Astyanax mexicanus: one gene and its partners. The protein of the gene in region 1 purifies or fractionates together with the protein of each later gene. This does not show direct contact. Links are inferred from orthologs where the notes say so. Each region holds a gene or a part of one and is shown in the gene's direction. Other genes may lie near its edges.

What was found.
Region 2: the proteins of bag2 (region 1) and dnaJ homolog subfamily C member 13 purify together in Homo sapiens (affinity purification with mass spectrometry; 3 studies listed by BioGRID and IntAct, with this or other methods). This does not show direct contact. The link is inferred for Astyanax mexicanus from reciprocal best matches to the Homo sapiens genes BAG2 and DNAJC13.
Region 3: the proteins of bag2 (region 1) and hsf2 purify together in Homo sapiens (affinity purification with mass spectrometry; 4 studies listed by BioGRID and IntAct, with this or other methods). This does not show direct contact. The link is inferred for Astyanax mexicanus from reciprocal best matches to the Homo sapiens genes BAG2 and HSF2.
Region 4: the proteins of bag2 (region 1) and rasal2 purify together in Homo sapiens (affinity purification with mass spectrometry; 3 studies listed by BioGRID and IntAct, with this or other methods). This does not show direct contact. The link is inferred for Astyanax mexicanus from reciprocal best matches to the Homo sapiens genes BAG2 and RASAL2.

The regions. Positions count from the first base shown.
Region 1 is NC_064414.1:16,372,387-16,379,698, forward strand, and holds the start of bag2 (BAG family molecular chaperone regulator 2), read left to right. Parts: upstream 1-4,145; 5' UTR 4,146-4,338; coding exon 4,339-4,463; intron 4,464-7,312. Other genes in the region: E3 SUMO-protein ligase ZNF451, read left to right, coding at 85-237, 893-933. UniProt on the Homo sapiens protein: Co-chaperone for HSP70 and HSC70 chaperone proteins. Acts as a nucleotide-exchange factor (NEF) promoting the release of ADP from the HSP70 and HSC70 proteins thereby triggering client/substrate protein release.
Region 2 is NC_064408.1:105,172,298-105,179,902, forward strand, and holds the start of dnaJ homolog subfamily C member 13, read left to right. Parts: upstream 1-4,384; 5' UTR 4,385-4,533; intron 4,534-7,605.
Region 3 is NC_064408.1:82,018,631-82,026,524, forward strand, and holds the start of hsf2 (heat shock factor protein 2), read left to right. Parts: upstream 1-4,695; 5' UTR 4,696-4,846; coding exon 4,847-4,939; intron 4,940-7,894. UniProt on the Homo sapiens protein: DNA-binding protein that specifically binds heat shock promoter elements (HSE) and activates transcription. In higher eukaryotes, HSF is unable to bind to the HSE unless the cells are heat shocked.
Region 4 is NC_064415.1:45,565,603-45,573,312, forward strand, and holds the start of rasal2 (ras GTPase-activating protein nGAP), read left to right. Parts: upstream 1-4,464; 5' UTR 4,465-4,686; coding exon 4,687-5,215; intron 5,216-7,710. UniProt on the Homo sapiens protein: Inhibitory regulator of the Ras-cyclic AMP pathway.

The DNA.
Region 1 (7,312 bases):
ATCACATTTTAGAGAAATGTTTTCTGACGTGTCTAGAAAGACACAGTTGTTGAGTTATTCTGAAGTTGTCCTTGCTTTTTCTAGCTGTGGAGTTTCAGCAGGTGAAGAGTGTTGTTCCTTCGAGCATCAATGATAAAGAATCTGTGGAAGAGTCTAAAGATGACTTTGAAGAGGAGATGAAGCTTGCTTTGGCTTTGAGTGCTGAGGAAGCAAAGAAACCAAACGAATTTGATCGAGGTGGGTCAGGCTTTCTGTACATGTTTTAGAATTACCCAAGTTTTGTTTTTCTAATTATTTTTAATGTTTTATATTTATTTTTTATTTTGCTAGCTTTACATGCGTGAAAAGTGCCACCAATATGGTATGTTAATTCAGTTTGGTAACTCAGTGAGTTGTTGTGGGAAAATGGTGTAACGAGGGGTGATGAGCACTGTGAGGTGTAGCATGCACAGACACTGTACAGTGTTGAGGAGAACTGAGCTGCTCAGTTAATTTAACACATTTGAACCACTACTTAAAACTGGGCCTGGGCTCCTATTGGTTAAAGGAGAGTTTCAAGAGTAAAATCAAATGTACATCATTACAGGCAGTTTCATCACATTGACTCAAATCAGCAGTTAGGAGGCAATTGTTTAGTCACTGTTTCACTGATCAAGAAATCAGACCTTTTTAATAATCTTTCTCTGCACAGTGTGATTTCATAGGGGTGAATGTGTTTTTATCAGGGCTAGGTAAATGTTGTAGTGTCTTGAAAACCTGCACAGGTTCTTACTACACATATTTGTAAATGTAAGTCATTAGTAATTCCAGTGTAATCACCTTTCAGGTAATGATAATTCTGAATAAATAAATGAGTAAATTAGCTAGCTAACTTATTTTCTGTGTTTTACAGAGATGGAAGAAGCTCTGAAAAGAAGCCTGCAGGACTTTTGATTGCTAAAACCTGCAAAATAGTTCAAACAGTGTTTGACCTGTATGTTTGTTTTTTATGTTGTTAATGTTCTCTGAAGTTTAAATAAAGAACTAACTGACTAAACTGGTTATTTGTCGTCTTCTGATTTTTATTATTATTATTTTAACTGAAATTGATGAGATGAGTGAGTTTAGTTCAGCTGTTAGTTCACCCTAATAGACCACTGCAGCTGTGTGATCATTTTGTAGTTGGCGTCATGTTTATTGCCATATTTGTGGTTCCATGTCTTAAGCTGCATTTGTCAATAACAAAAATAAATGGGCTTTTCAAAAACTCATCTCTATAAATAAATCTGTTCAGAACCCTGTACGTTTTGTTCTGTGTACATTCTGCTCCTAAACCCCGCTGAATCCTCTGAATTATGAGATCAATTAAGAGTCCTAATAACAACAATGCTAGATTTTAACGTGGCTTAATGTACTAAAACAAGGAAAAACTTCTCTCAATCATTCACTACATAAAAAACAATCAGAATATTTATAAGATAAACAAACCACTATAACCCACATTACTGAGCCTGGCTGGGAGTAAACTGGCTGGTTGATTGGCTCTTGAACAACACAGCAAATGTATTTTGTATTTTGCGTTTGCTGGTGTAGCCGGTGTGTTAGTATATCCAGGGAAGTTGACCAGTATGATTACTGCATCTCTAATTAAACATGCTAATAGCACAGTAACTACACTGGTGCTAGAACCTGGTTCTGAAATAAATACTGTGCTGCTTGTTTTAGTGATTTCCTGCTGTAACACTCTCATTCCCTGGTGTTGTGCCAAAGTCCCCTCTTGTTCTGTGTTGCTGTGACATAAGTTCAGTTCAGAGGATTGACTGATGTTCAGGAGCAGAATGTACACAGAATAAAATTTACAGAGTTCTGAACATATTAATTTACCACAGAATGTGACAGAGGAGAGTTTTGGAAAAGCCCATTTTTGGGCCATATAGAAATTTATCTTAGACCAAGAACCCCAAATGTAATCTTTAATAATAATGTCAGATAATAAACTCTGTTGGTAAAGGGTGGTACTAATTTCTGAGGATAAAACTGTGGTGATAATTTCAGATATTAATCTTTGATGATGAACTCTGATAAACCAACCAACTCCTTCAACCAACCAAAACGGGCACATGTCACTCCGCTGCTCATTGAGCTCCACTGGCTACCAGTTGATGCTCGCATCAAATTCAAAGCTCTTACAATCGCCTACAAGGTGATGACAGTACAGGCTCCTTCCTACCCGCACTCACTCCTGAAGGCTTACGCTACCTCCCGGCCGCTGCGCTCCTCCAATGAACGTCGCCTCGCTTTGCCAAACATTCACACAAAGCAATCCAGACTGTTCTCATACAGAGTTCCCCAATGGTGGAACAAACTACCTTCTACTACCAGATCAGGAGAATCTCTTGCTATCTTTAAGAAACTCCTGAAGACAGAGCTCTTCAAAGAGCACTTACTCTCTTAACACCTCTAACACACTAACTACTTCTAACCTCATCTCCTTCTTCCTCTTCTCTACTCCTCTATCCCATTATTTCCCTCTGACCTCCTTAAGGCCCTATCTATAGATGCTTTATTTTTAACTTCTATTATTTTTGTACTTAACCTCTTCTATTATTTGCAACTCAATATTGTAAGTCACTTTGGACAAAAGCGTCTGCCAAATGTTATGTAATGTAATGTAATGTAATGTAATAATCTGAGGTCATGATCTTTGTTAATAATCTGTGGTGATAATCATACATCCATAGGGTAAAATTCATTAATTTTATCTAAGCATAATTTCTTAACAGAATTATACAAATTATGCACCTGATTGTATCGGTATTAATACAAAAATACACAAAACAATTACACATTACAGTTTTATATGTATTTTGTTAATATTCTATTTCTATGTTAATTATGATCATTGTTATATTATAATAGTTATTATTTGTGGAGAGTGCATTTCTCCTGAAAGTTTTGTGAGTGTTAAATAGAGGCAGAGTTTAATAAAGGCAATGTTAAATAAAGTCAGAGTTAAATAGAGGCAGTGTTTAATAAAGGCAGATTCAAAATTAAATAAAGGCAGCGTTAAATAGAGGCAGAGTTAAGCAAAGTCAGTGTTAAATAAAGTCAGCATTAAGTAGAGGCAGTTTAATAAAGGCATGGTTAAAGGCAGAGTTAAATAAAGGCAGCATTAAAAAGAGGCAGAGTTAAAGAAAGGCAGCATTAAAAAGCATTATTAAAATATTAGTTAAATAGAGGCAGTGTTAAATAAAAGGCAGAGTTAAAGGCCATTTTAAATAGAGGCAATGTTAAATAATGCAGAGTTCAATAGAGACAGGGTTAAATAGAGGCAGAGTTAAATAAAGTCAGTGTTGAATAAAGGCAGTGTTAAATCAAAACAGATTTAAATTGAGGCAGTTTTAAATAAAAGCAGAGTTAAATAAAGGCAGCATAAAATAGAGGCAGAGTTAAATAGGGGCAATGTTAAATAAAGGCAGTGTTAAATAAAAGCAAATTTAAACAGAGGCAGTTTAACATAAAGGCAGAGTTAAACAGAAGCAATGTTAAATAAAGGCATAGTTAAAATAAAGGCGCGGATAAAAGCAGATTTAAATAGAGGCAGTTTTAAATAGAGACAGGGTTTAGTAGAGGCGGCGTTAAATAAAAGCAGCTTTAAATAAAGGCAGAGTTCAATAGAGGCAGTTTTTAATAAAGGCAGTCTTAAATAAAGGCAAAGTTCAATAGAGGCCATTGTAAAAAGAGGCAGTGTTAAATAAAGGCAGTAGTAAATAGAGGCAGAGTTGAACAAAGGTAGTGGTAAATAGAGGCAATGTTAGTGTTAACATTGCAAGGCAGTAATAAAATGACGCTGGGTTAAATAGAGGCAGTGTTAAAATCAGTGGCAGAGTTAAATAAAGGCAAAGTTTTAAATAGACAGTTTTAAATAGAGGCAGAGTTAAATAAAGTGAGTGGCAGAGGTAAATAGAGGCAATGTTTAAATAAAGGCAATTTCAAATAAAGGCAGATTTAAATTGAGGCAATTTTAAATAGAGGCAGAGTTAAATAGAGGCAGATTTAAGTTTGAATAAATAAATACATTAAGAGATGGAGCTAAAGCGGCTAATAATTCAGTTTATTCTGCTCTGATCCTCCCCCGCCGCTCAGCGCCCTTCCGTTTCCCCCCGAGGGCGGGAATACCCCGGGAGATCCAGCCCATGTTTGGAGATGTTAGGAGATGTTTGTCCGTCAGAGAAACCGCTAGAAGGAGCCGGAGAGAGGAGACCCCTCAGACCCGCCCGTGTAGAGCCGAGTCTCCGCACTGAGACCCCCTCAGACCCGCCCGTGTAGAGCCGAGTCTCCGCACTGAGAGCCGCGGCCATGGCTCAGGCCAAGATCAGCGCAAAGATCAACGAAGCCGCGAGAAGCGGGAAGTTCAGCCGCACTGTCTCCATGGCGGACCGCTCTCTGCGCCTCCTGGAGAGTCTGGACGATCTGGAAACGAGGTGGGTTTACTTTCGCACCGTAATACTAATAATTCCCATAATACTCTAATAATCTTAATACTCTTACTCTCTCAATACTCCTCTAATACCCATAATACTAAAAAAAAACTCACGTCTCAATACTCCTCTAATACCCATAATACTTTAATACTCTCACACTTTTAATACTCTAATAATCCTAATAGTCTCACACCTTAATACTCATCTAATACCCCTAATAATTTAATACTCACACCTTAATACTACTCTAATACTCTCACACTCTTAATACCTATATAATACTCCTCTAATACCCATAATACTTTAATACTCTCACACCTTAATACTCATCTAATACTCATACTACTAATACTCTTACACTCTCAATACTCCTCTAATACACCTCTAATACTCACAATACCCTAATACTCTTACACTCTTAATACTCCTTTAATACCCATAATACTGTAATACTCATAATAGTCTTACACCCTTAATATTTATAATGCCCATACTACTCTAATACTCCATACTCTCACACTCTTACTACTCTCCTAATACTCGTCTAATACCCATAATACTTTAACACACTTTGAATACTCGTCTAATACCCATAATACTTTAATACTCACACCTTAGTACTCCTCTATTACCCATAATACCTAATATTTTCACACTCTTAATACTCATAATACCCATACCTGTCAAGTTTTAGATTTAAAAATAAGGGATATTTTCCTCTGTCCGCTTAAAGCCGTCCCACCAGCCCAACGAAGGTTCAGTATCTCTTACATTTTAAAACAGGTTTACAAAAAATCTAAAATAACCACATGTGAACCACTTACACACTACAATTAGATTATCAGAATCTGAACATGTTGTGGACATGTTGTGGATATGTCATTCTTTTAATACAGCCAAATTAAAAACCCTTTTCTATATATTTTTTTTATTTAAGATTTCATGTCTTTTTTGTAATAAATGCACTCTTTTATATGATATATTTTTTATTTATTTAATGGATTTAAAATTGAACAAAGAGTGCACAAATTCTGCAAAATGACTGTTGGTGACCTAAAAATGGTATTATGAGCTTTTACTAAAAGGACATGGACCAGATATATTCCATCAGTAAAAATTAGTCCTAAGGGGCCTACACAATAATTTTTAATTAATACTTCTTCCTTTTGATCACTCCACCCCTGATCAGTTCAGTTAATGTCGGTCCTCTCCACATTTCTAGTTAAACTGAGTCACAAGCTGTAATTTTTTTTTATTTTAAAAGGTTTAATCTCTGTGTTTTATTTCGGAGTATTTTTAAGCAGCTATCAGAAAAATCTCATCACAGTTTCCATGATTAGACTACCGTTACCTTTCTTTTAGAAAAATCGCTGCATGTATGTTTTAACATCAGCAGCTCCAACTAGCTGCCTGAACTCACAGCGAGGAGGGCGGGGCTTCCCCACACTGACCCTCCTTGGAAGCTGATTGGCTGTTTCTCCTGAAAGGCGGGACTTTCTCCTTGAACCGGCTCCACGATTGGTTAAGAGACACAGAGCGGTCAGTGCCCTGTATCCTCAATAATATATATTTTTTTATTTTAATAAAATACGGGAAATTTACGGGAAAATACTAATACGGGAGGACGGCGGGAAAGAGGAGTAAAATACGGTAGTTTCCCGGCCAAAACGGGAGACTTGACAGGTATGATAATACCTATACTACTCTAATACCCTCCCACTCTTAATACTCCTCTATTAATCTTACTACTCTAACACTCTTACACTTTTAATACTCTTAATGCTCCTTTAAATATACTCATATTACTCCAATACTCCCATTCCCTTAATACTCCTCTAAAAGCCATAATACTTAAAAAATCTCACACCGCTGATGATAACAGTAGTAGAAGTGTGTGTGTGTGTGTATGTGTGTGTGTGTAAACTCTGTGTAGTAAAGTTTATAACCGGGTCAGATGAACTAAAGCAGTGGAGTTGTGTGGAGTTGTTGACTCTGGCAGAAATGCAGCTGCTGCTCAGTGAGGCTATAAATACGAGCTGCACCAGCAGATCCGTCTTCTTGCTTTAGGATGGATTTTTATTTCTAATAATCATTTTATGAAAATGTTTTTGGTTCTCTTGTTCTCAGTAGAAAAGAATACACTGATTAACCAAATGAAACATTATATGTGTAAATGTAAATATGTAATACATACACAAATAGAGCAAAAGTTTACTGGGGAAAACTCTTTATCTGAAAAGAGGCACTAGTACAGAGGTCACTAACAGGCAACTCAAATGTTGTCCAATGCGGACCCAAACCTTTTAAAATGATTTCATTGTATACGTGCTTTGCGGCGCAGTAAACTCACAGACCAATCATGTGTGGTGTAAGATCACCAAATGCTCTCCTTTGCGGTAAGGAAATAAAGAAATAAATAAACACACTGCTCCTCACGCGGGATCGAACCCGTGTTGTCAGGGTCGCGCAATAGCTCCAGCTATTGAATTGGGACGCGACCGTGAAAAAACGCCTTTATAAGAAGAGGGAGCCCAAGAATGAGCGTAAAAACGAGAACAGGCGGAAACTAATGTGTCACGCCGAACGCAACAGAGAAAGACAGGCAGGTAATATACACAAAATCTGCATTTTTTTATTATTATTATTATAGATATTTTTAATTATAGTTCAAGCAACCTTACAGGATATAGCACTGAATCATAACACAAGTTAAAAATCGGTCCGGACCGGAATTTTCTCTAACTGGACCATACTGAATTCTAATTAAATACCCCTGCTCTAGTACATGTTGGAGCCTCTAGCTTGGATTCAAGATGAGATAAAATGATCGAGCACGGACTCATGCAGGT
Region 2 (7,605 bases), on another chromosome or scaffold:
TTAAATGGAGTACAGAGTGAATAGACAGCTTCTCCAAGTGTCCTGTAGGAGATTTTAAAGCCCTCAAATATTCAGAATGTAAATAAGTTATTTTACTGCAGAGAATAAGGGTTTTGTATCACCTACACCTGTAGCCTGTATACGGGACAAGGCATGTTAATAGGTTAAAACACATGATTATTTGATCATTTAGAAGTGTAGATAAAATTATTAATATTCTGTTCCAAGATTTTCCATCTTGTGGTCAAATATAAATGTTCTACTTTTAATAACTCCCAAGTGCTAGATTAAAACTGTGTGAGGCTATGTCCAGCTTTGACAGGATGTTACTGCAGCCATAACATTGCATATATTTGATTAATTTCAGGTCAGGACTTGACTTCATCATAAAAAGAGCGACTTTTATTTGTATTGTTCTTCCTGAGCAAAATCAAACCACAGTTTAGCTGTACGTTGGTTCATTGACTGTACGTGATCATTTAATCACATTAGGCCTCAGTAGGATTTCTCACCTCATTAGGTGTTTTGTAGTTGATACAAATCCCTCCGTTTAGAAAAGTCCTTATTAGAATTTGTTTATTGTATTTATGACGTATTGTATGTGGTAGAAGAGAGAGATGTGAGGAAATCATTTAATGCTGTCATTAAAATGTTTTAGGTAGAAATGGAACCAATTTCCTACAGCTATTAGTATTGGAAGTGATAGCAGCAGAAAATGCTGGACTGGATTTCAAAAGGATAAAAGGAATGAATCTGGTCTAATTTAAGAAATCTAGCTTGAAATAGGAGGCATTCACATGGTATGATGTCATACTGCTTTTTACTCCTTTCTGCGAATTAATTGAGAATTAAGAATTGAGAATGGCAGCATGATACTTATAGGTGTTACAGCTATTTTAACTATTTTAACTCCCCTCAAACTTTCAATGTTTATATAGAACATATATAGCTCTTGAAAAAATTAAGAGACCACTTCAATTTCTGAATCCGTTTATCTGATTTTTCTATTTATAGATATATGTAAAATAAACATTGTTTTATTTAAACTACAAACAACCTTTCTCCCAAATGTCAAATAGAAATATTGTCATTAATAGCATTTATTTGCAGCAAATTAGATATGGCTGAAATGACAATAAACATGCAGAGCTTTCAGACTTCAAATAATGCAAAGAAAACAAGTTTATATTCATAAAGTTTTAAGAGTTCTGGAATCAATATTTGGTGAAATAACCCTAGTTTTTAATCACAGTTTACATGCATCTTGGCATGTTCTTCTCCACCAGTTATACACACTGCTTTTGGAGAACTTTATACCATATATATATATATTTTAAGCAGTACAGCTTTGAAACTGGAATGTTGCCCCTTATTTAACTCCCGTCCTTCTAATTCTGCACTGAATGCATTTTTCCACTAGAGGTCAGTCTCTGAGTGTTTAGGCTTGTGTGTGGATGAGGCAGAAAGTTAACAGAAGTGGCCTGAAATGAAAGCAGTTGTACAATTACTTAAACAGAAACTGTTGTGTTGTAATTCCTCCACCGTAAAATGAAACCTAACACCCCCCACAGCTGACATGGGTGGGCAGAAAACTACCACTCTAAATCACTGTAAAGTGAACACAATTTACAGCTGTAAATAAAAGCATGGATACAATTGTAACAGACAGATAAAGAAGGGCACTAATATAAACTAACACTATTGTAAACTGCTGTTGGTCAATAAATCTACAGTGCTGAATTTAGTTCTGATTACAGTCGAGGCCTGGCTGGGCCTTCCCTTTTTCTGTTCCCTTGAGGTTTCTTTTACTACGCAATGACGACCATAGCTGTTTTTCAATTGCTGAACATGCAGCCTTGAGGAAACGTGCTGTCAATTATTCTAAATGTGCTTTCAGTGCTGAGTATGTGAGGAAATGCACACCAGTGCTTTGCTTATCTGTGCACATTTTTAAGCATTTCACAGCATTTTCATCATTGAAAGAAATTCAGAGTATTAAGATACCTGTACCAAATTAGCCGTGGCAAATTTGAAAAGGTATGTAAATATTATTAATATTTCATATGTGAACATGCATGATTAACTCTTCACCCTGTACAGTCAATTCATATACTAATTAATCCAATGACAGGAGGTAAAGCAGGTAGAGTGCATTTCACATTGATTCAGAGGCCTGGATTCTGAGGCAGAGGCTTCTGATTATTGTCTGTGAGGAGTTTGGTGTTTCCCTCTGCTTAAGTAGCTGAATTGGTTATGTTAAACTGTCCCTAGCCATGACTGTGTGACTGAATGGGTGTGTGGTAGGCCCATTGACCCACTGCAACTCTGACCAAAAAGAAGCTGATGATGAAAATAGGATGGATGGATGGATAGATATCGACCTTGAAGTAGTTGAGGTCTGAAATGAAAGTGAATTTGATTTTTCCCACACTTATCAAATCCTGCAACTCTACATCTTTACATATAACAGTTTCCCTTTTTTGAACTCGTCTACATTCAGTGGGCTGGAGCTTCCTCTTTCTGAGAAGTGTTTGTAAATCAGACATTTAATTCATTGAAACAGCCTAAAATAATTGATTCGGCAAACTAAAACAATTTTAATTAGTACAAAAAAACATGAATAAGTTGAGAATGAACAAGTACAAGATCATGAAGGAAATAACAAAACGTTGTAGGACAAGAGAACATACAGAGCTGTTTAGCACACGACTTCTTGCGAGAACCAAAGACTACCAATTCCACACCTGGCATGACATAGAAACTAGCAAGAGAAACCTTAGTAACCACATGGGCACCATTTAACAACACCTTTGCAACTACCTCAGATATGATAGCAACTGCCTAACTACAACTTAACACTACCTTAGCAACCACCTAGGTTACCTGAGCAACCACTATGCATAACATAGATTCCAGCTTACAAACCTTAACAATAGCAACTGCCAAAAAACCATTTGGCAACCACCTCAGACATGATAGGAACCACCTAACCACCACATAACACCACCTTAGCAGCCACCTGGTTAAACTACCTTGCAACACATTAGCAACCATCATGCATATCATAAAAACCAGCTGGCAAGACCTTAGCAACCACATGGGATATGATGGCAACTGCCTAGAAACCAGGCAGTTGCATAGCAACCACCTAGCCACAACTTAATGCCATCTTAGCAACCACCTGGTTTAACTGAGCAACTACCTTGCAACTCATTAGCAACTGTCATGCATATCATAGAAACCAGCTAGCAGGAACTTGGCAACCACATGGGATATTGCGGCAATTGCCTAGACACCAGGCAGTTGTTTAGCAACCACCTAGCCACAACTTAACAACACCTTAGCAACCACCTCAGATATGAAAGCACCTGCCCAGCCACTACATAACGCCAGCTTAGCAACCACCTGGGTTAACTGAGCAACTACCTTGAAACACTTTCACAACCACCATGCATAACAAAGAAACCAACTAGCAAGACCTTAACCATAGCAACTGCCTAGCAACACCTTGGCAACCACCTCAGGTATGATTGCAACCACCTAACCACCACTTTACAGCATCTTGGCAACCACCTGGGTTCCCCAAGTTACTACTATGCAACACGTTATCAACCATCATGCATAAAACCAGAAACCAGCTAGCAAGACTAAGCAACCACACGATATATGATGCCAAATGCCTATAAACCTGGGAGTTGCTTAGCAACTATCTAGCCTCCACTTAAAGCCACCTTAGCAACCACCTGGGTTAACTGAGCAACTACCTTGCAACACTTTCACAACCACCATGCATAACAAAGAAACCAACTAGCAAGACCTTATCCATACCAACTGCCTAGCAACACCTGGGCAACCCCTTCAGATATGATTGCAACCAGCTAACCACCACTTTACAGCATCTTAACAACCACCTGTGTTCACCAAGTTACTACTATGCAACACGTTATCAACCATCATGCATAAAACCAGAACCAGCTAGCAAGACCTAAGCAACCACATGAAATGATGCCAAATGCCTTTAAACCTGGGAGTTGCTTAGCAACCACCTAGCCTCCACTTAAAGCCAACTTAGCAACTACTTTGCAACTCATTAGCAACCACCATGCTTGACAAAGAAACCACCTAGCAAGACCTTAAACCATAGCAACTGCCTAGCAACCTCTTGGCAACCACCTTAGTTATGATAGCAACCACCTACCAGTAATCACTACTTAACAACACCTTAGCAACCACCTGGGATACTATAAGTTAACAGTTGGCTATACAGTCTAGAGAAGAGATCGCGCCTTCCTACAGTTTAAGCTCAAAGAATCGGCTCAATGATTCATTCGTTTGCCACACTCTGACCAGCTGACAGCCTCATGACAGGCGGCAGGTCCGCGCATGCGCAGACGCACACTCTGTGCGAAGAGCGAACATGGCGGCGTCCTGACTGTTTTTTTCCGTACTGAGGGAAGCGCAGTCGGGAAGGCTCGGCACCACAAGTTCGGTAGAAAGGACGGAATCGAGTCGCAGCTGATCCGGGCGGTTCAGGTAAAGCGCTGCTGTGTGTGAGTGAGGGTGTGAGGGAGTGAGTGTGTGCGTGTTGCCCTGTCCGCCACTGCTGCTGCTGCTGCCCCTCCGCCTGTGATCCATTGATGCGGTGCAGCCTGACTGCTAACGCTAGCACAGGCTAGCCTGCTCCTTAAGCTGTGCAACAGTGTCCTCCTGTCCCAGTGCAGAATGGGGAGGTGGCAGGGGGAGAAATATCAGTGGGGAAACTGGGGACAGATGACTGTAACTAGCTATCAGCCTGTTGGAATTCACAGCTGCAGTTTACTAGTTAGCCTGGCTAACCTAACCTAGCTCCCTCTAACTTATCTCCAGTGTAGAGCCCACTGTGATGTAGCTGGAGAAATTCAATGTCTTGACCAACCCAACACTGCATCCCCTCAACCCATAGCTACAGCCAAACATACTAGCTTAGCTTACTACCGCATGACCCAATATAACAATAACACCAGCCACTGTAATAACACAGCATAAGATGGGCATTCAGTGTTCACCTAGCTTCTTGACTAACTATATAAGCTAGCTAGCTAGCTATCTGAATAGCCAACTGGACAAGGTTTTTGGTCAATATTTAAGTGCATTAGCTAGCTAGCTGTTTGTCTGTCTACCTACATAACTAGCTAGTTAACCTGTTAGCTAGCTAACTTAGCTACGCTTACTAACTGCTTAATAGAGTTGAGATGATAGAGTTAGAAAACGTTGTTAGCTCATGGAGTCCGTTAGGTAACTGAGCTAATAGTTTATCTAGCTAGTTTGATAGACAGACAGACAGACAGACAGCTAGCTGAGGCACATGACTATTGACCAAAAAACCTGTCAAGTTGGCTGGTCAGACAGTTAGTTGGCTAGCTAGCTAGCTTATATAGTTAGCTAACTGATAGGTTTAAGAAACGTAAACTAACTAGCTAATAGAAGTAGCTTAACGTAATTGTATTAGTTAGACAGACAGCTTAACTTACTAATGCACTTGACTATTGACCACACAACCTGTCCAATTGGCTTTACAGCTCTAGAAAAAAAGAGCCCACTTAAAAATTATGAGTTTCTATGTTTTTACCAAATTGAAAACCTGTGGAATATAATGAAGATGAAGATGGATGATCACAATCCATCAAACCAAGATGAACTGCTTGGGAGTGGCATAAAGTTATCCAAAAGCAGTGTGTAAGACTGGTGGAGGAGAGCATGCCAAGATGCATAAAAACTGTGATTAAAAACCAGGGGTATAACATCAAATATTGATTACTGAACTTTTAAAACTGTATGAATATGAACTTGAATTATTTGCATCATTTGGGGTCTGAAAGCTTTGCATTGTTTTGTTATTTTAGCCATTTTTCTATTTCTGCTAATAAATGCTCTAAATTACAATATTTTTAGTTGGAATTTGGGAGAAATGTTGTTCATTTTACTCAAACATGTACATATAAATAGCAAAATCAAAGAGACGCTGAAGTGGTCTCTTATTTTTTCCCCACATCCCTACATATAGTTAACTTAACTAGCTAGCTTAGATAAACGTTATATAGTTAACGTTAACTAGTTAAACTAATAGAGATAGGAAACGTAGCTTAGTAAGATAGACAGCTAGCTTGCTAATGCACTTGACTATTGACCAAAAACCTTTCCAGTTGGCTAGTCAGATGGTCAGCTAGCTAGCTTATATAATTAGCTAGTTAACTAGGTAATACTGTTAAGAAACGTAGACAGACAGACAGCTTGCTAATGCACTTGACTATTGTCCAGTTGGCTAGTTAGCTTAGCTAACTTAGCTGACTAACTGACTAGTTATACATTATGTTGTGATGGTCTGCTTGTCTTCATATGAGTTAGCGTTAGCCAGCTTGCTAACGCTAGCTTTCTTCTTTTTAAATGTTTCAAAGCTTTAAAGTTTAGCACACTAATGTTGTTTTATTAGGGATTTATTAGGACCATATGCTGTTACAATTGATAAGCTGGAGAGCTAAAGGAGAGTATCTAGTTTTGTGTAGTTTGAAATGTTGAACATTAGATAGCTAATGTTAGTGAAATAAACGTATGAGGAACAAAACAGTCCCAACATTAACCTAAATGTTTAGACTTTTTCTTGTATTTTTGGCCATCTGAAGAGGTTTGTCTGTTAGTGTAGAGTTGCCCTATATCTGTTGCTGTTTGCTGTGGAGCCACCAGCTCATGAGTTCCAGTAGTCATGTGACTGCCATCTTCAGGCCTGTCAAACTGAATGTCTTTTGAAAGGCCTGTTCACAGGGGACTGGCCGAACAAGAAACATGTTTATGAACAAAAGAATAAAGGCTGATGTCATGGAAAAAAAACATATTTTCCTTATTTGAATTAAAAGGGTTTGGTGTGTTACATGAAGTTATGTAGACACATACAACTTTAAAACTCTTCCTTTAAAACTACTCAAAGTCTATGTACACAGATCTATCATAAAATTAAGGTTTGGTATTCTGTAGCTTGTGTAGTCAAGGCATAAACATATGCTGAGTTCAGTTTTGAATCATATTTTAAGGTACTATAGTCCAACCGATGAACTCCCTAATGCAGAAATAGCCAACTTTACATTTGTCTGCAGTAGTTTTTTGTGGTGTTGGAGTCTATCCTTCTCTCCCTACCTACAGCAATGAGTGTCACTCCTCTTACTGCTTGAGTACTTTTTTTGGGGGGTTCTCACCCGTGCATACTGGAATCGCAACACAAGACCTGATTTGTTGGAGATGCTCTAAACCAGTCATCTATCTATTTGTGAACTGACTGTTCACATGTCTGTCTGTTATATCCCACTAATTGATAGGACTCCATGTTCAGAGATCATTGTAATGTTTCAATGTTTACTTCATACGTTTGCTGTTTTAATATTATGGCTGTTTGGTGAACATAGAAATTAGAACCAAGTTGTTTTTACATGTATCAGTTTTAAAGACAAACAATTTGCATTACCATATTGGAAAATACTTTAAGACAAACATTAGAAGTAACCTGAATGAAGGAAAAACAAAGTGTGGACTATAGGCCCTTTAAAATGAGTCATTGACTGGTTGTAGTCAATCATG
Region 3 (7,894 bases), on another chromosome or scaffold:
TTCTGAAAGGAGAAAACATTAGCTAAGCTGAAAGTCAAAATCAACAGAACAAGAAATCATGAGAGTTCCTTTCTGAATAATCTATTTTTAAACCCCGGTTAATTATTTACATACAACGGCATATGTACAAACCCCCAACCCCCTTACGTTGTTTGGCTAGCTAAAAAAAAAGAAAGTTTAGCAAAAGTAAAAAAGCAAACAAAACATGATGAAAAGGGGAAATGTGTCCTTTTTGAGAGCAGTGGGGAACATTCCTATTCAACCTATTTACACAATAGTTTGAACATTCTTACTTGTGTGATCTTTAGGCACCCTTTTTTAAATGATCAAATTCATTTGTTAAACCTGTTTTCAGTCTGTGAAATGTTTTAATATACTAATGATTGGGAGGCGATTTTTGAGAGTTTGTGTGCTGTTCTACTTTAATATAGTCATTAAATTGTTCAATATAGTAAAGAATTCATTTCAGAAGGTTACAGTGCATGTTTGTTAAAATAACTTAGATGGTCTTATTACTGCAACACTCAATTAACTTAAAATTAAATATAAATGAGGAGAGATAGATAAAGCGAGAGAGAGAGAAATAAAGAGAGACCTTGCCCTCTCTAGTTCATTCTCAGTCTACAGGCCCTTTCTCCCAGTCAACCCAAAACCTTCCATTGTCTCTGAGAGGAAATCGTTCAGCTGTTAAATTTTAAACCATGAGCTTTTCCAAACACCAAATCCACAGTGACCATATGTTTACATCCCCCGACAGATACCTCCCCCATCCATGCTGTAAACACAAGGAGCTTTTGCCTTTATCTTTAGCTTCCAGCTGCAGAGTAAGAATCTTGATGTACAAAGATTCACGGATTGTAACACAAACCGTATTTATATGTAACCACCCTCAACATACATTTAATTTGATTCAACTACCCACTTTTACAAACCCCTCAACTGACACAAACAAGATTATGTCAGAAAGACTTTGTTGGCATTCTTGTTTATAAAAATTAATTGGGGCTCATTGGTTAGAGTGCTGGTTCACTGATAACAAAGTTGAGGATTTCATACCCAGGTCTAGCCCACTACCACTGTTAAGCACTTGAACCCCCTGTTCCATTAGCACCGGGACATAGCCTGCACTCTGACCCGGGTTTGGCGGCTGTTAAACCATTACTGCTTGAGCAAAGGCTGCCACCTCTGTGGGCATGCGTTTTCACAAAATCACTGTGTGTGTGTGTGTGTGTGTGTGTGTGTGTGTGTGTGTATGTGTGTGTTTGTATGTGTGTGTTTGTATGTGTGTGTCTGTGTCTTCTGAGTGTACTTACTGATGTGTGTATTTACTGCACGGATGCCCAACACAAGTATATGTTTGTCTTGCCAAAAAGTTATTCCAGAAGGTTGAAGTGTCTAGCTTCATTACAGCTTTTGAACAATAAATGCTCTACATTGTATGAGCTTGTAGGCACAATAAAACTAATAAATAATAAAACTCATAACTAACTAACTAACTAACTAATAAATAATTCAGAAAATAATTAATATTAAATGTTTATTTTTGGACTATCAATCCATTCTATCAAGTTGCATGTGGGAACTTCATCAGCAACTACAGGGAGGGCATTTGTTTGCTGTATTGTATAGTTTTATGATGAGACTAACGTTTCTAAACAATTAATCTGGAGGCACTGTATCTAGCTATATAGACTCAGTAAACCAGGAAAAATAGTTATTTGTTGTTTATTATACTTTAGTATTAGTATGAGCACTTTATACAATCCATGGTAGGTATCTAAAAGTAAGGATCTCTACATTTTCTGAATTGTTTTATGTTTTCTGGGGAGATCTACCAACCTTCCATTTTATTAATCTTCTTATCTTCTTTTTCCAAGTCAGGGTTGTGGTGGTCCAGAGCATACCGATGATCATTTGGTACAAAGTAGGAATACCTGCTGAACAGGGTGTCAGTTCATCACACTCCAGTCCCTTGCAACCTTTCTGGAAAATACATACACAAAACATTTAGTACAGCCTATACATACCCACCATAAATACACACGAGCACCTGCAACCAAAGCAAATTTGTACAGACATAAACTTGGTTCTTATGGTGTAACAAAACACATGCCATCTTATTAACTGTATGGTAGCCTATGTACAAGGTACAGGCTAGCATACAACAGAAAACACCACACAGACCCAACTCAATATCTTAGCCAAAAAAATCCGACTCATAAAGGGCAGGCTAAGCCCCAAGGAGATCTGGCCCCCCCCCTTCTGTCAGTGTTGAACTCTGCCCTCAATCTTCAAAGTCACAGCCCCTTTCATGTGGACTACTCCACCTTCCACCTATACCCACCCAGGATGGCAAGGTCTGCACATAACAAACACCAAGCCCTCATCGCTTGTAGCCATAATTTGCCCAAATCTCTGTCTCGACTGCAAAATGACCACTTAGATGGAGTGTTTCCACAGCCTATAAAAGTACACCGCATTTTGGTAACGCTCGAGAACTCCTTACAGTTTCAAGTATTTCTGCAAAAATGTGTTCGGAACATGATTATTTATCACAAAAACACAACTAAATACAAATGATTTATTGAGCAAAATGACGTACCATACTCCTTTTAAGTCCATTCACAGCATTTTTATATTTTAGAACTGATCATGCTTTAACCAATTCTTTGTAGACTAATTTGTGTGCTTCAGGTCATTGCATTGCTGCATGACCCACTTATAGATAGGCCACTCCACTGAATGTGTGCTATTTGCTTGTTGTAACTCTTCCAAATTAAACTTATTTATCTTTATTATATCTTTTATATAACTTCTCAAAAGTTTTGCAAAACTAAGATATGTAATTAAAAACAATAAAAACCACTTAACACTGAAAAAATAGTATTTGTTACCTGTTGCCATTCTTTAACTATAAACTACCATGAAATATAATTATTAAAATACTTTTGCATAGTTGTGTGACTCTGAACCCCATCTATCCTTTAAAAATAGTTTTCATAATAAATCCATAATATTAAAGTTACATATTTTATTTGTGTTTCTGGGTTTCACTTATTCCTACAACAGGATTTCACAGCTACAACAGGAAGTTACATCATCTGGTTCTTCTGAAGATCATGGGAAGACCAAAATTAAGTTCCCATATTTGTTTTTCTGTATATTTAATCTTATTGTAACTATGACTGAAGAAGTCAATCTCAACATTCATTCATGTTACTTGAATTAATTTTTAGATCTTTTTGTTTATTTTTTAAAATATAAATTATAGGAAAATCACTAGAATATGCTCAGTGTGCTCATGCTATTATCATAGCCACCATTTAGTTATTTTTCATATATTTTTTTAATTCTATGCTAAAAACTCATTCCTGTTACTTTCAGTCCTGTTACTCAAAATATAAAAAGTAATAGGAATAAGTGCCAGTAACAGGAGTGAGTTCCAGTAACAGGAGTGAGTATTGTCCCCTGGTTAATTTAATTTCTGTTTCGTTTATCATTTATCCATTTGTTTAATAAATTGCATGATAATAAATTTGATCAATTTCAGTACATTTACATGTTTTGAATAGTTAAATATATGTGTTGTTAAATTAAGAGTTGAAATAAAAGATTAAAAAATATGTTTAATTTGGAAGAATTACAACAAGCAAATGGCACCCATTCGGTGAAATGGCTTATTGTCATTATTAATATATGCTGGAGAGATGCCTGTAGGTCCTTAAGGAGATATCTGCACATTTTTAAAGCTCACATTTAATTACTTTTAAGACATTTTTAATACCTCTCACAAGAAAAAATAATACTATTACTGTAGCAAAAATGACAAATTAGGTGATAGTATACAAAAAGTTTTACTGAAGTGAAATAAAAAAAAAAAATCAGTCCACCTTAGGGAACATTACTGACCTTCTGTTAGCAAAAATTATTCCAAATAAGTATCGAATAAACATAAAAGTGTGCTGTTAAGGGAACTCGACAAAACAGCCTTTTAATTACTCACTACTTTCCCAAAAGCACTGGCAGAATAAGTGGAATATTCCCTATAGATCACTATTTGCATTTTATATAATAAACAAACAAAAACATGATTAAAATTGTTAGACATTTTAACTGGCTTAAACGGCACATCAATTAATAAACAATTCACATGCCTATGTACACTATAATTAGTTAATTGATTAAATAAAAAGAAGTAGTCATGAATAAGAAGTACAAAACAGCCTGTGATTATATCTTTGTGTTTTGCAGTTAATCGTGTTTTTATTTCATGGTTATTTAGACATGCAATTAATTCAATCATTCCTTACTTTTCCTCCATATAGTTGAATGCCTCCCCTCCTAAACGTTCGTGCATTTAAAGACATTTTTAGACCTTGAATATGTAAAACTAAGTTTAAGTCATTTTAAGACTTAGGAGTCCATTGTGACTTTGCAGAGTAAATATGGATAACTTCTAAAGTCCAGTTTAACAGTATTAAGCCTCTAAACAAACCCAAGCCAACAGAATAATATATAATGTATTTTCTTTCAGCTATTCACCAGTGTGAGGCCTGTGTTCTGCAGCTCCACCAGTCAGAAAAGGCCAAAAACTCATACGTATACACACAGCCCCCCTAACGTGATGCAAACACGTGCAAAAACACACAGGGTTTACGTAAAGTCTGTATTGGACCAATGAGGAGCTCGGGCTGAGAGTAGGAAGCCGTGAGGCTGCGTCGTTTTTTCACTGCTGTTGCTGTTTTTGTCCGTGGAGGAGAGAGAGAGCAAGAGCGAGAAGAAAAGAGAAGGACAGAAAGAGCGGACAGATATCTCACCAAACCCGACTTCTTTAAGAAGAATAACAATGAAAAACAACTCCAACGTCCCCGCGTTCCTCACCAAGCTGTGGACCCTGGTGGAAGACTCCGACACCAATGAGTTCATCTGCTGGAGTCAGGTATAGACCCCTCTATGTCTGCTCGGATCCATTATAACCTAGCACAGCTAGCTATAGCTAATCTAATGTAGCCGTTAGCCAGCCTAATGCTACACACACACTAACTAACTAACGCTAACTAGCTTAGCTGTGTATCAGCTTGTTTAGCTAGCTTACAGAGCCCGGTAGCTATGGTAACTGTGCTAGCAATATCTATACGGGTTTTAAACGTTTGCCTTATTAGCATAACGGTAAACGTGGCGTTTAAATGGTTTAGGTCAGTTTAGGTCACTCCTGCTACTGCTGTAGGTTTACTACTTAACTAGTTAGCTAACGCTAGGTTAGCTAGAGCTCTGTGAATTAATCCTTTAGCTAGTTGCTCTTTACATGCAGCTAGTAAGCTAACCTAGTTAGCTATTTGTCTATGGGACGAATTGCATTTTCTTGTGAGTCTCTATGGATATAGGTTAACCATACCTGTCAAGTTTTAGATTTAAAATAAGGGATATTTTCCTCTGTCCTCTTAAAGCCGTCCCACCAGCCCAACGAAGGTTCAGTATCCCTTACATTTTAAGACACGTTTACAAAAAATCTAAAATAACCACATGTGAACCACTTACACACTACAATTAGATTATCAGAATCTGAAATGTTGTGGACATTCCTACATATGTCATTCTTTTAATACAGCCAAATTAAAAATCCTTTTCTAGATATAAAAAAGTTAAGATTTCATGTCTTTTTTTGCCATAAATGCACTCTTTTATATTATATATTTTTTATTTATTTAATAGATTTAAAATTGAACAAAGGGTGCACAAATTCTGCAAAATGACTGTATGTGACCTAAAAATAGTATTATGAGCCTTTACTAAGTGTAGTTGTCCTAAGTGGCCTACACAATTAATAATTTTTAATTAATACTTCTTTCTTTTGATTACTCAACCCCTGATCAGTTCAGTTAATTTCGGTCCTCTCCACATTTCTAGTTAAACTGAGTCACAAGCTGTTAACTTTTTATTTTAAAAGGTTTAACCTGTGTGTTTTATTTCGGAGACGAGTATTTTTAAGCAGCTATCAGAGAAATTTCATCACAGTTTACATGATTAGCTTACCCTTACCTTTCTTTAAAAAAAATCGCTGAATATCCAGATCTGTTTTAACATCAGCTGCTCCGACTAGCTTGAACTCACAGCGACTAGGGGCTTCACCACACTGACTCTCCTTTGCAAGCTGATTGGCTGTTTCTCCTGAAAGGCGGGACTTTCTCCTTGAACCGGCTCCACGATTGGTTAAGAGACAGCGCGGTCAGTGCCCTGTCTCCTCAATAATATATATATTTTTAATCTTAATATAATACGGGAAATTTACGGGAAAATACTAATACGGGAGGACGGAGGGAAAGAGGATTAAAATACGGTAGTTTCCCGGCGGGAGACTTGACAGGTATGATGTTAACAAACTTTGATTAATACATTTAGTTTTTGACTTTTGATAACAAGCTGATCATTTGAAACAGGTGTTTTAGATCAAGGAAGCACACAAAGCCACCACCACCTTTTCACATTTATATATTAGTACCTGTTTCTAAATTAGCCACATCTTGCCATTATCCTTTATGTTCCCATCACCTTTTCACATTCATAAATTAGTACCTGTTTCTAGGGCTGCAACGATTAGTCGATAAAATCAACAATTTTGAGTACTAAAATTTGTCGACTACAAAAACTGTCTCCAAAAGTGCCCAAACACAACAGATTACGCATTTCCCCATTATATATCCGTACTTTCCGTGTTTAAACAACATCTAGACATTTAAATGCCGTTTAAATCTCATGCTCAGCTGTTTCTAATGTTAATGTCAATGCTACAATGCTACAGTGAATGTGTGCTGCAATCAAAGCTAAAAGTGGTCCAATCAAATATTGGAGTGTGTGACCTTTTTTTTTTGGCCAGGCGGCAGTGTAGCTTAGCTTTAGCATTTTTTTATGACCCAGTTACATGCCTAGCTAGCTACATAACTAGGAATTCAACAGTAGAAGATTTGTTACTACAACTGTAGGTTATAAGCTAGTTTAACCGACATAGATAGCTATGATACATTACAAGCATTACAACCTAGCTATTATAACTACTTTAGTAAAGTTTTCCATTAGTTAAATCTCTTTTGAATTGCTGGCTATACAGTCAGTGCATTTAAACAGTCAGAAAAGTGGTGTTTTGTGTTTGTAACTGTTTTAACAGGTGTTTCCTTGTGTTATTAATTTTGTTATAGTGCCAGTGCTTTATTATATATACAGTGAGTCCAAGAAGTATTTGATCCCTTGCTGATTTTCTTCGTTGGCCCACTAATAAAGACATGATCATTCTATACGTTTAATGGTAGATGTATTCTTACATGGAGAGACAGAATATTAAAAAGAAAATCCAGAAAATAAATCTAAGGAATATATATTAATTGATTTTTATTTCATGGAGTGAAATAAGTATTTGATCCCTTAGTATTCATTAGCAGTTCTGGCTTTTACAGACCAGTTAGACACTCCCAATCAACTTGTTACCTGACCTGAAGCCACCTGTTCTCACTAATCACTTGTGTGAAAAATACCTGTCCACAGAATCAGACAGATCACACAGATTTCAAGTCTCCAACATGGGTAAAACCAAAGAACTGTCACAGGACCTCAGAGTCAGAATTGTTGACCTTCACAAAGCTGGAATGGGCTACACAAAGATTAGTAAGGTGTTGGATGTGAAAGTAACAACTATTGGTGCAATTATCAGAAAGTTTAAAGAGTATAACATGACAATCAACAGACCTCGGCCCGGTGCTCCAAAGAAGATTTCGCCTCGTGGGGTGGCAATGATGCTGAGAACGGTCAGAAATCGTCCTGCAACCACTCGGCAGGAGTTAGCAAATGACCTGAAGGCAGCTGGGACCACAGTTTGCAAGGAAACAATTGGCAACACTTTGCG
Region 4 (7,710 bases), on another chromosome or scaffold:
TTTTGTCTGCACTTAATGGTGAGTTTGTTAATATGGGATTTAAAAGAAAGTTTTTTTTATCGAGCCAGATGCTGAGATACTTATATTCGCTAACTTGTTCAATGGTGGATCCTGTCAGAATAGGTCTGGAATTTAAAATAATATTTGAAAATCTGGAAAACAGCATGAATTCGGATTTATTTGCATTTAAAACCAACTTGAGTTCATATAGAGCAGTCTGTAGAGTGTTAAAAGAATGTTGAAGTTTTTCTAGGGCAGCATGTGCAGAATCTGCTGAGCAGTATAAGATTGAATCATCTGCATAAAGGTGTAACTTGCAGTCTAAGTTAGAGGCCGCAAGATCATTGATTAAAATATTAAATAAAACTGGACCCAGGATTTAGCCCTGGGGCACTCCATTTGTTATGGGCTGTAGGTCTGATTTATGGTTACAGAGCGACACACATTGCTTCCTGCCAGAAAGGTAATCCTGGGCCCAGAGAGTTGCATTATTGCTATAACCAATCTTATGTAAAGAACCTAATAGTAGCTCATGATCGACAGTATCAAAAGCTTTAGTGAGATCAATCAAAATGGCAGCACAGTACTTCTTCTTGTCTAGGGCCATGTATAGATCATTTAAAACCAGTGTGGTTGCAGAGATGGTACTATGTCTTTCTCTAAATCCAGATTGATAGTTATACAGGATAGAGTTTTCATAGAGAAAAGACTTGAGCTGGTTATTCACTAGGGATTCTAAAATTTTAGATAAACAAGACAGTTTTGAGATTGGTCTGTAATTATTTAGATCTGCTGCATCTCCTCCTTTATGCAGAGGAATAACATGAGCTGTTTTCCAGATACGGGGAATTCTGCAAGATAAAATAGAAAGATTAAAAATGTATGTAATGTTCTAAAATAACTGGGGTTGCGAGACGCAGAAGGTAGGGGTCCAGACCGTCCTCACCTATTGTTTTCTGAGGATTAATAGAGGAAAGGGCGTTAGCTACTATGTATGGAGAGCAGGTCTGGAGGGAGAAGATATCGATTTTCTGGGAAGCAGTAGTAGTAATGATAGGCTGATCCACGGCCAGGTCAGAGTTAGTGTTTTTAAATATCTGATCAGCTGCAGCAAAGTGTACATTAAAAGCTTTGCACAGTTCTTGCTGGTCAGAGATCAAATTACTATTGACTAGAATTTTAGTTGGGATTTGTTGGGAGTTGTTTTTGAGGGAGAAATAATCTGATTTGGCTTTTCAAAGGGTAATTGCAGAGGTGCATCTGTTTCTCAGTTGTCTAAAGTAAGCCATTTTTCACATTCCACTGTGCGTCTGGAAATTGACCAGGCTTTATTTCTTGACTGTAGCAGTGAGGAAATTTCCCCTGTAAACCAGGGGCTAGATCTGTCTCTATTTCACAGTTTTTTGTACGAAGCATGCTTATTTGCCACTGAAAGGAATGATTTCCTGAAATGTTCTAATGCAACATCCACATCTGTACTTGCAAAAGTTAAGTGAATTTTGCTCACTGAGAAGTCAGAAAGAAAAGCTTGTTCATTAAAATTTCTTGTAACCACCATCCGACAGCCTGTTTGTATCTTTGAACTGGTTCTAATGCACCCGATCGGACAATGATCACTAAAGCCAAATTCAAAAACTCCAGTGATTTTATCTGTTTTGTTAGAAAATATTAAATCAATCAAGGTAGATTTGGAGGGATCTTTTAGGTTTGGACGGGTTGACTCAGTGATCAGCTGTGAGAGGATGAGATTGCAGCAAACTTCTTATAAATGATCAAATGCATTCGAAAATTATAAGTAATTTCTAGCACGATTAAAAATAGGCAACAAGCCTGTCGTATGGTTCTGAGCTGCATTGGGTAAATCAGCTCTGGATAATAAGGAGCTTCTTCTGTAAACATTACAGTACAGTATTTTGAGCACACATTTTCAGCACTGTCTTGAAAAAAACATGGTCGACATTTTCATTATCATTAAAAGTATTTTATATTCTTAAACATTGTTAATTATACAAGAGAAGAGGAAAGTCATTGTAAATTATCTTACTGTTCTTGGTCTATTTCGGTTTATGATTGTGCAGTGCATAGCTTTATTACAGATTTTGTGTTTTTGCACTTGGGGTATAAGCTCAATATAAAATAAAAGTTTGTTTGTTTAGAAATTATTTTATATTCCTCAACCATGTTAAATTATATCAGATTAAAGGACGTGTAAAAATCTCAGCACACATAATGATCATTTAAATGGCCTGGGGAAAATATGTAACAGTATTCAGTAATGTGTACACTGTCCCTTTAAGTGCACAGGCACCTATGCTGAGAGCATAGAGAATCAGAGTGTGTGTTGTGTTGTACCAGAGAATGCTATTTATTTTATTTCTGTAAGTAACACCATTGTAGTGCTTTGGTGCTGCATAGGATCTAATATGAACTAATAAATAAGTAGGCCTAAGTAAAATACTGCCAGAGTGAGTCTAAGTGTCCTATCTGCTCCATGTGCTTTGTGTTTTACCTGCCCCAAAGCTCACTATCTGAACCGAGATTGGATCCGGAACATTACAACTGGATTCGATTCCGATTTTGGGGGCCACGATTCGATTCAAAATCGATTTTTGATTCAAAACGATTTGAATTATAAAAATTTCTGCTTCTGGCTTATGAATCTTATTGAAAAAAAAACCCTCCATAATATACACTGGTCCTGGAGCAAGTAATGTGTTACAAAAACAATAAAATGTGCAGGAATGTGAGTCCTCAGTGACATAGGAATCACTGGGATATCACAATGACGTTAATGAACAATAAATAAATAATAAATAACACTGCTTTATTACCAGGCTACTAGCGGTGGTGTGTAGGTGACGCTGCTGGGCTGATGTGATGATAGCAGTGGAGCGCTAAAGTTCAGGAGCAGCTGCTGATTAACTAGTTAATTTAAGGTGGTTGTATTTCTTCAGAAAGGGGGCAGGAGGTGGAGAAATTAATTCATATTGTCCATTCCTTAATTCCTCTGTGATGAGGAGCTGAAATTAGCTCTGATTAGCTTATTGTTATTTTTCCGTTCCGCCTTAAATGCTGCAGCCCGCAGCCACCTGTAGCGTTATTTAAGGTGGAACTGGAAAGTTAGCTTGTTAGCTAGCTAACAGTTACTGAAACTAACTACTAGCGATCTTTTTTATGCTTGTTATGAAGCATTCTGCCATAAAACATTAAAACTACACGTTAATCTAAGGTAATATAGTGCTTGTTCTGCCATCTTACCGGTGATTCTCAAACACCTACTACGCTCTGTGTGGGTCTGGAAGACCTCGGTTTGAAGGGACAAGCGGGTTGCCAGGTCCAACAAAAATACCCAGCCCAAAATCAGTCCAAAACCCGCCCCTCAGAATCGATTTTGGGACATTTTAAATCGATTCTGAATCGTAGTAAATGAGAATCAAGATTCTTATGTGAATCGATTTTTTGGCACACCTCTATTTTTTTTGTGTACATCATTATTTTCCCGCACTGCCTTAACTCTCTTGGGCATGGAGTTCACTAGAGCTTCACAGGTTTCAGAGCTGGAGCTTGCCCGGTCCAGCACCTTTACCTTCAGTTTCTTTAGCAAAGCTGTGGTCGTCTGGGATGTTGTTTGGGGTTGTTATCATGTTGCAAACTCTCATGCAGCTCAGTCTCCGAAGGGAGGGGGTCATGCTCTGCTTCAAAAGGTCAGAATACATGCTGGCCCCAGCCCATGCTAGACGCCATCTGAGCCAAACAAGTTTGGCAACAATTTCCAGTACTTTGTGCTCTTGAACTGCTTGTCTTCAGCAAAATGTTTTTAAACTTTCTTGTGCATCAGCTTCAGAAGAGGCTCCCTACAACAGTGATGCAGAATGAGTTGATGCAGTGTCCGGCGTACAGTCTGAGTACTGCAGGCTGACCTGCCATTTCTTCAGCCTCTGCAGCAATGCTGACAGTGTGCATACATATATTTTAAAGTCAATGTCCGGCTGAACGCATAACAATTTCTCCATTTTCACGTAGGGTGTACAATTTTCTATTGTTGGGTAGAACTTTGTTTTAGTTGTGGTACACAGCATACAACTGTGGTGTTAAAACCAGTTTCATTCTAAGAAAAAAAGCATGTGATTGGTACAATGGGTTATACAGTTTAGTTTGAAATGTTTTGTAAGTACTTCCTGAAGGAATACGGTATGGAGACCTCACTGTATCTGCCCACTGTAGATAAAAAATATTTTTTAGTTTTATTATTAACCTTTTGAATCTAACCAAGATATGGAACATTCCATCCCTGCTGGTTATCATTTGAATAATAAAACTTTCAGCAGGTTAAGAAAACTTCGGTTAAAGGACATAACTGTGTGTTGTGCGATCTGATTGAATCATGTATGTAAAAAGGCATTGGTGTAGAAGCATGTGCAAGACGCCCCACTTCCTCCCAGGAAGCACAACAACGACACAGAAAGCAGGAAATGGTAGCTCACACCGTAACCTGTGGACTACTTCTTACCTAATAACGGAGACAAGCTGTATGTTGCTGTATATATTATTTGATATATTTTTCAGAAAGTGAGGCACGAGTTGTTTGGATTTTGTAGTGTTTAGATAGCAGTTAGAATCAGTGGGTACAGACTCTCTCTGTGGTTGTGTCCTTTTGTTGCTGTAACGTCAGTCTTCTTGTGGATTATGAGTCTTCAAAGTAGCACTATATGGGGTGAGCGGCTGGAGGCGAGCAGAACACCATCTCACCACCTGACTGGCAAGGAAAGTGGCCAGCGCTGGCATGTCCTTAGCAGACCCTGGCTTAAGCGCCGCTCCAATTCAGCTCCTGCCGAGCCCCTGGACTCAAATCAGAGATTGGACCAGGCCCGACGAGCCGCACTTAGCCAGACCCTCTCCAGCAGAAGCGGCTGCACCCTCCCAGCTAACCTCGAAGGCTCAAGGGTACACAGCCTCCCTGATCCCAGCAGAATCACAAGGTCTGGTGTGCTTCTGGAATGTGTTCAAGCAGAGGGGTCTCGCTTGTCACGGACCAAAGTACCCTATTTGCGCTCTGCCTCGGAACCTGGGACCAAGGCTAGCATAGAAATCCTCCAGAGACCGCAGACACAGGCTGGCGTCCCGTTTTCTGGGATCCTCTTGTCCATGTCACAACGCATCAGCCGGATTCTGGCAGCCAGAGATAGGCCCAGTACTCCAGAGATGGGAGAAGACGGTAGGCTGTCATTAGAGTTTAGTAGCAGGGCACAGAGCGTGCATTGCAAATTAGTTGTTTAAGATTTAGCTTGTTCAACTGGGTATGTATATTGGATTGCACTACAAAACTAACTGTGATGGGTTATAAAATCTGATCATTTCATATGATAATATCATAGACCTGTCAAGTCTGAGTAAATATGAAAAAACAAATGAACATAAAATGACAAATATTAACAAGAGAGGCAGATGTTTTATGATTATTTAATGTAGAATTTATTGTACAAAAGCTTTTTGTTTTCAGTTTTTGATGAGTAGCGTGGACTTTTCTTTTCTCTATATGTATATGAGTTATTTTTGGTGGATTTGCCAACAAGGCAATATCTCCTAAAGAACAGTTTAAGCTGATTAAACCTAAATACAGCTTAAGCTTTTCTCACCATCGTGTTGTCAGTGGTTTAAGAGTTTAGGCGTTAAACCACCCCACTGATCAGTTTCACTTCTCTACGCCTTTGCAATAAACAAGCTCTTTCTTTTCCTGCTGTCAGAGTTTTCCCTCAGCAGATTGGATTTTCTTTTTTTATCCCACAATATTTGGACATGACCTATTTTTTTGCCCACCTTAATGTTTCCCATAGTATTTACTTAACAAGGAGGGCCCATTCAGGTTTGTTTAAAAACAGTGTTTTTTAAATTTTTTACTTATTTATCTAGGATAACACAACTCAACAATGTAATGTCTAATAGTGCTGATTGGAGTTGGGCGGTATAATGGTAGTACTGTATATAGCCGTAACATTCAGACCACCTGCCCAATATTGAGTAGGTCCCCTTGTGCCATCACAACAGATCTGACCATTTAAGGTATGGACGCCACAAGACCTCTAAAGGTGTTCTGTGGTATCTAAGGGTGGTTGACATGATGTGGCCTTTTTTTGGTCCAGTGTGTCAAATACATGTAAATTATAGAAGAATATGTCAAAAACTGAATATATTGTTTGAAAGTGCTGTTTTATATGAACTTACAGAGCACTCATGGAATTAACATTTATTACAATTTTCAATCAAACCAGAAAAAGCTCATATGGCGTGACTGTCCCAATCACATTTTACAAATTTTGATTTTAAATAAATACAAGCAAATTACTTAATTTTCTATTTAATCAATCATATATTAATAACCCAGGTGTCTATTATGAGTCTGCTTGGCTAAAAGTTCGGGCATAATATTTTGAAGCCACGATCAACTTAAACATTTTGTCCCAAAAATGAATGATATATGGTGTGACGTCATACTTCTTTTTTTAAACGGGCAATTATTTGGAGTCCTTTGGGGAGTGGGGATCCTCCTTCTTTCAGGAGGAAGAACAACACCTCAGAAGGACACTGAACGTTACAGGGTGAATTATCACTCTTTATTCTTTCAGAAAATTAAGTATATCCAGCACTTCTGCTTCAGTTCCATTTTGCACTGTCATATCGTGTGACACATGGCTAGCATGGTATGTTATGATGCTAGCATAAAGCCACATTGCTTACAGTCATGGTAAATACATAAAACATCATATGGTGTGATTTTTTTGTAATACTATATGATATCAACTGCATTTAAATACATAACTAATGCAATTAGATACGTTTTAGCTAATAGTTATGTGTTTTAAAATTTAATTCGTTTAACACATTTTTATAGTATATTGTTTACAAATGTAATATTTGTACAGCAACACTCACTCATTCATGCAGATTCACTCACTCACTGAGACTCAGTTACTCCTGAACACAAAAGGAAAAGTTCAGTCTGACCCAGTTGCAGTTTACGGTAGCACACCTGAACATCCCGTTTCAGCACAAAACCGGGAAAGGCATATATTATAAATACATGCTTCTTCTGTTTGTTTCTTTAAGTAGAAACCAAATGTGTCACAATGTTTATTGGCACACTGTTTAACAATACATTCACAGCTTTCTGATCCATCATTGTTCTGCTCATTCTCGTTTTAAAAAGAAATAATGCATTAAATATAAAAAAGTTCAATGACTTACTAAAGATTATTAGAATTCCTGTAGGTAACATTCGACAGATTAAAATTAAAAAGTGCTACATCTAATGAATTCAGTAAGTGGATTAGTTAATGTCTCATAAACATTCTTCTCTACGTTGAGTAAAATTCACATCAACAGTTTTGTGATTCTGCTGTAACTGAAAACGATTTCAGTCACTAGCTAAACCAAGTTTTTTGTTTGCTAAATGCAGCTAATACAGATTTTTGCATACAGATTGTGGTGTGGTGTGATTAATCATATGACGCATGACACCATGACATATGGTGTGATATTCAGAATAAAAAAAGGAACTTACAGAGCACTTATTTGGCATGATTTTGGCCAGCATGCCTCTGCCGAAACTTACTGATGATCTGGTGAGCATTGTGAGATCAGGTGAGATCCTCACTTGAGTGAAAGTGTTCCACATCTGCCTCACCCATGTTGAGTGGTCCCAGCAGCTCCCTC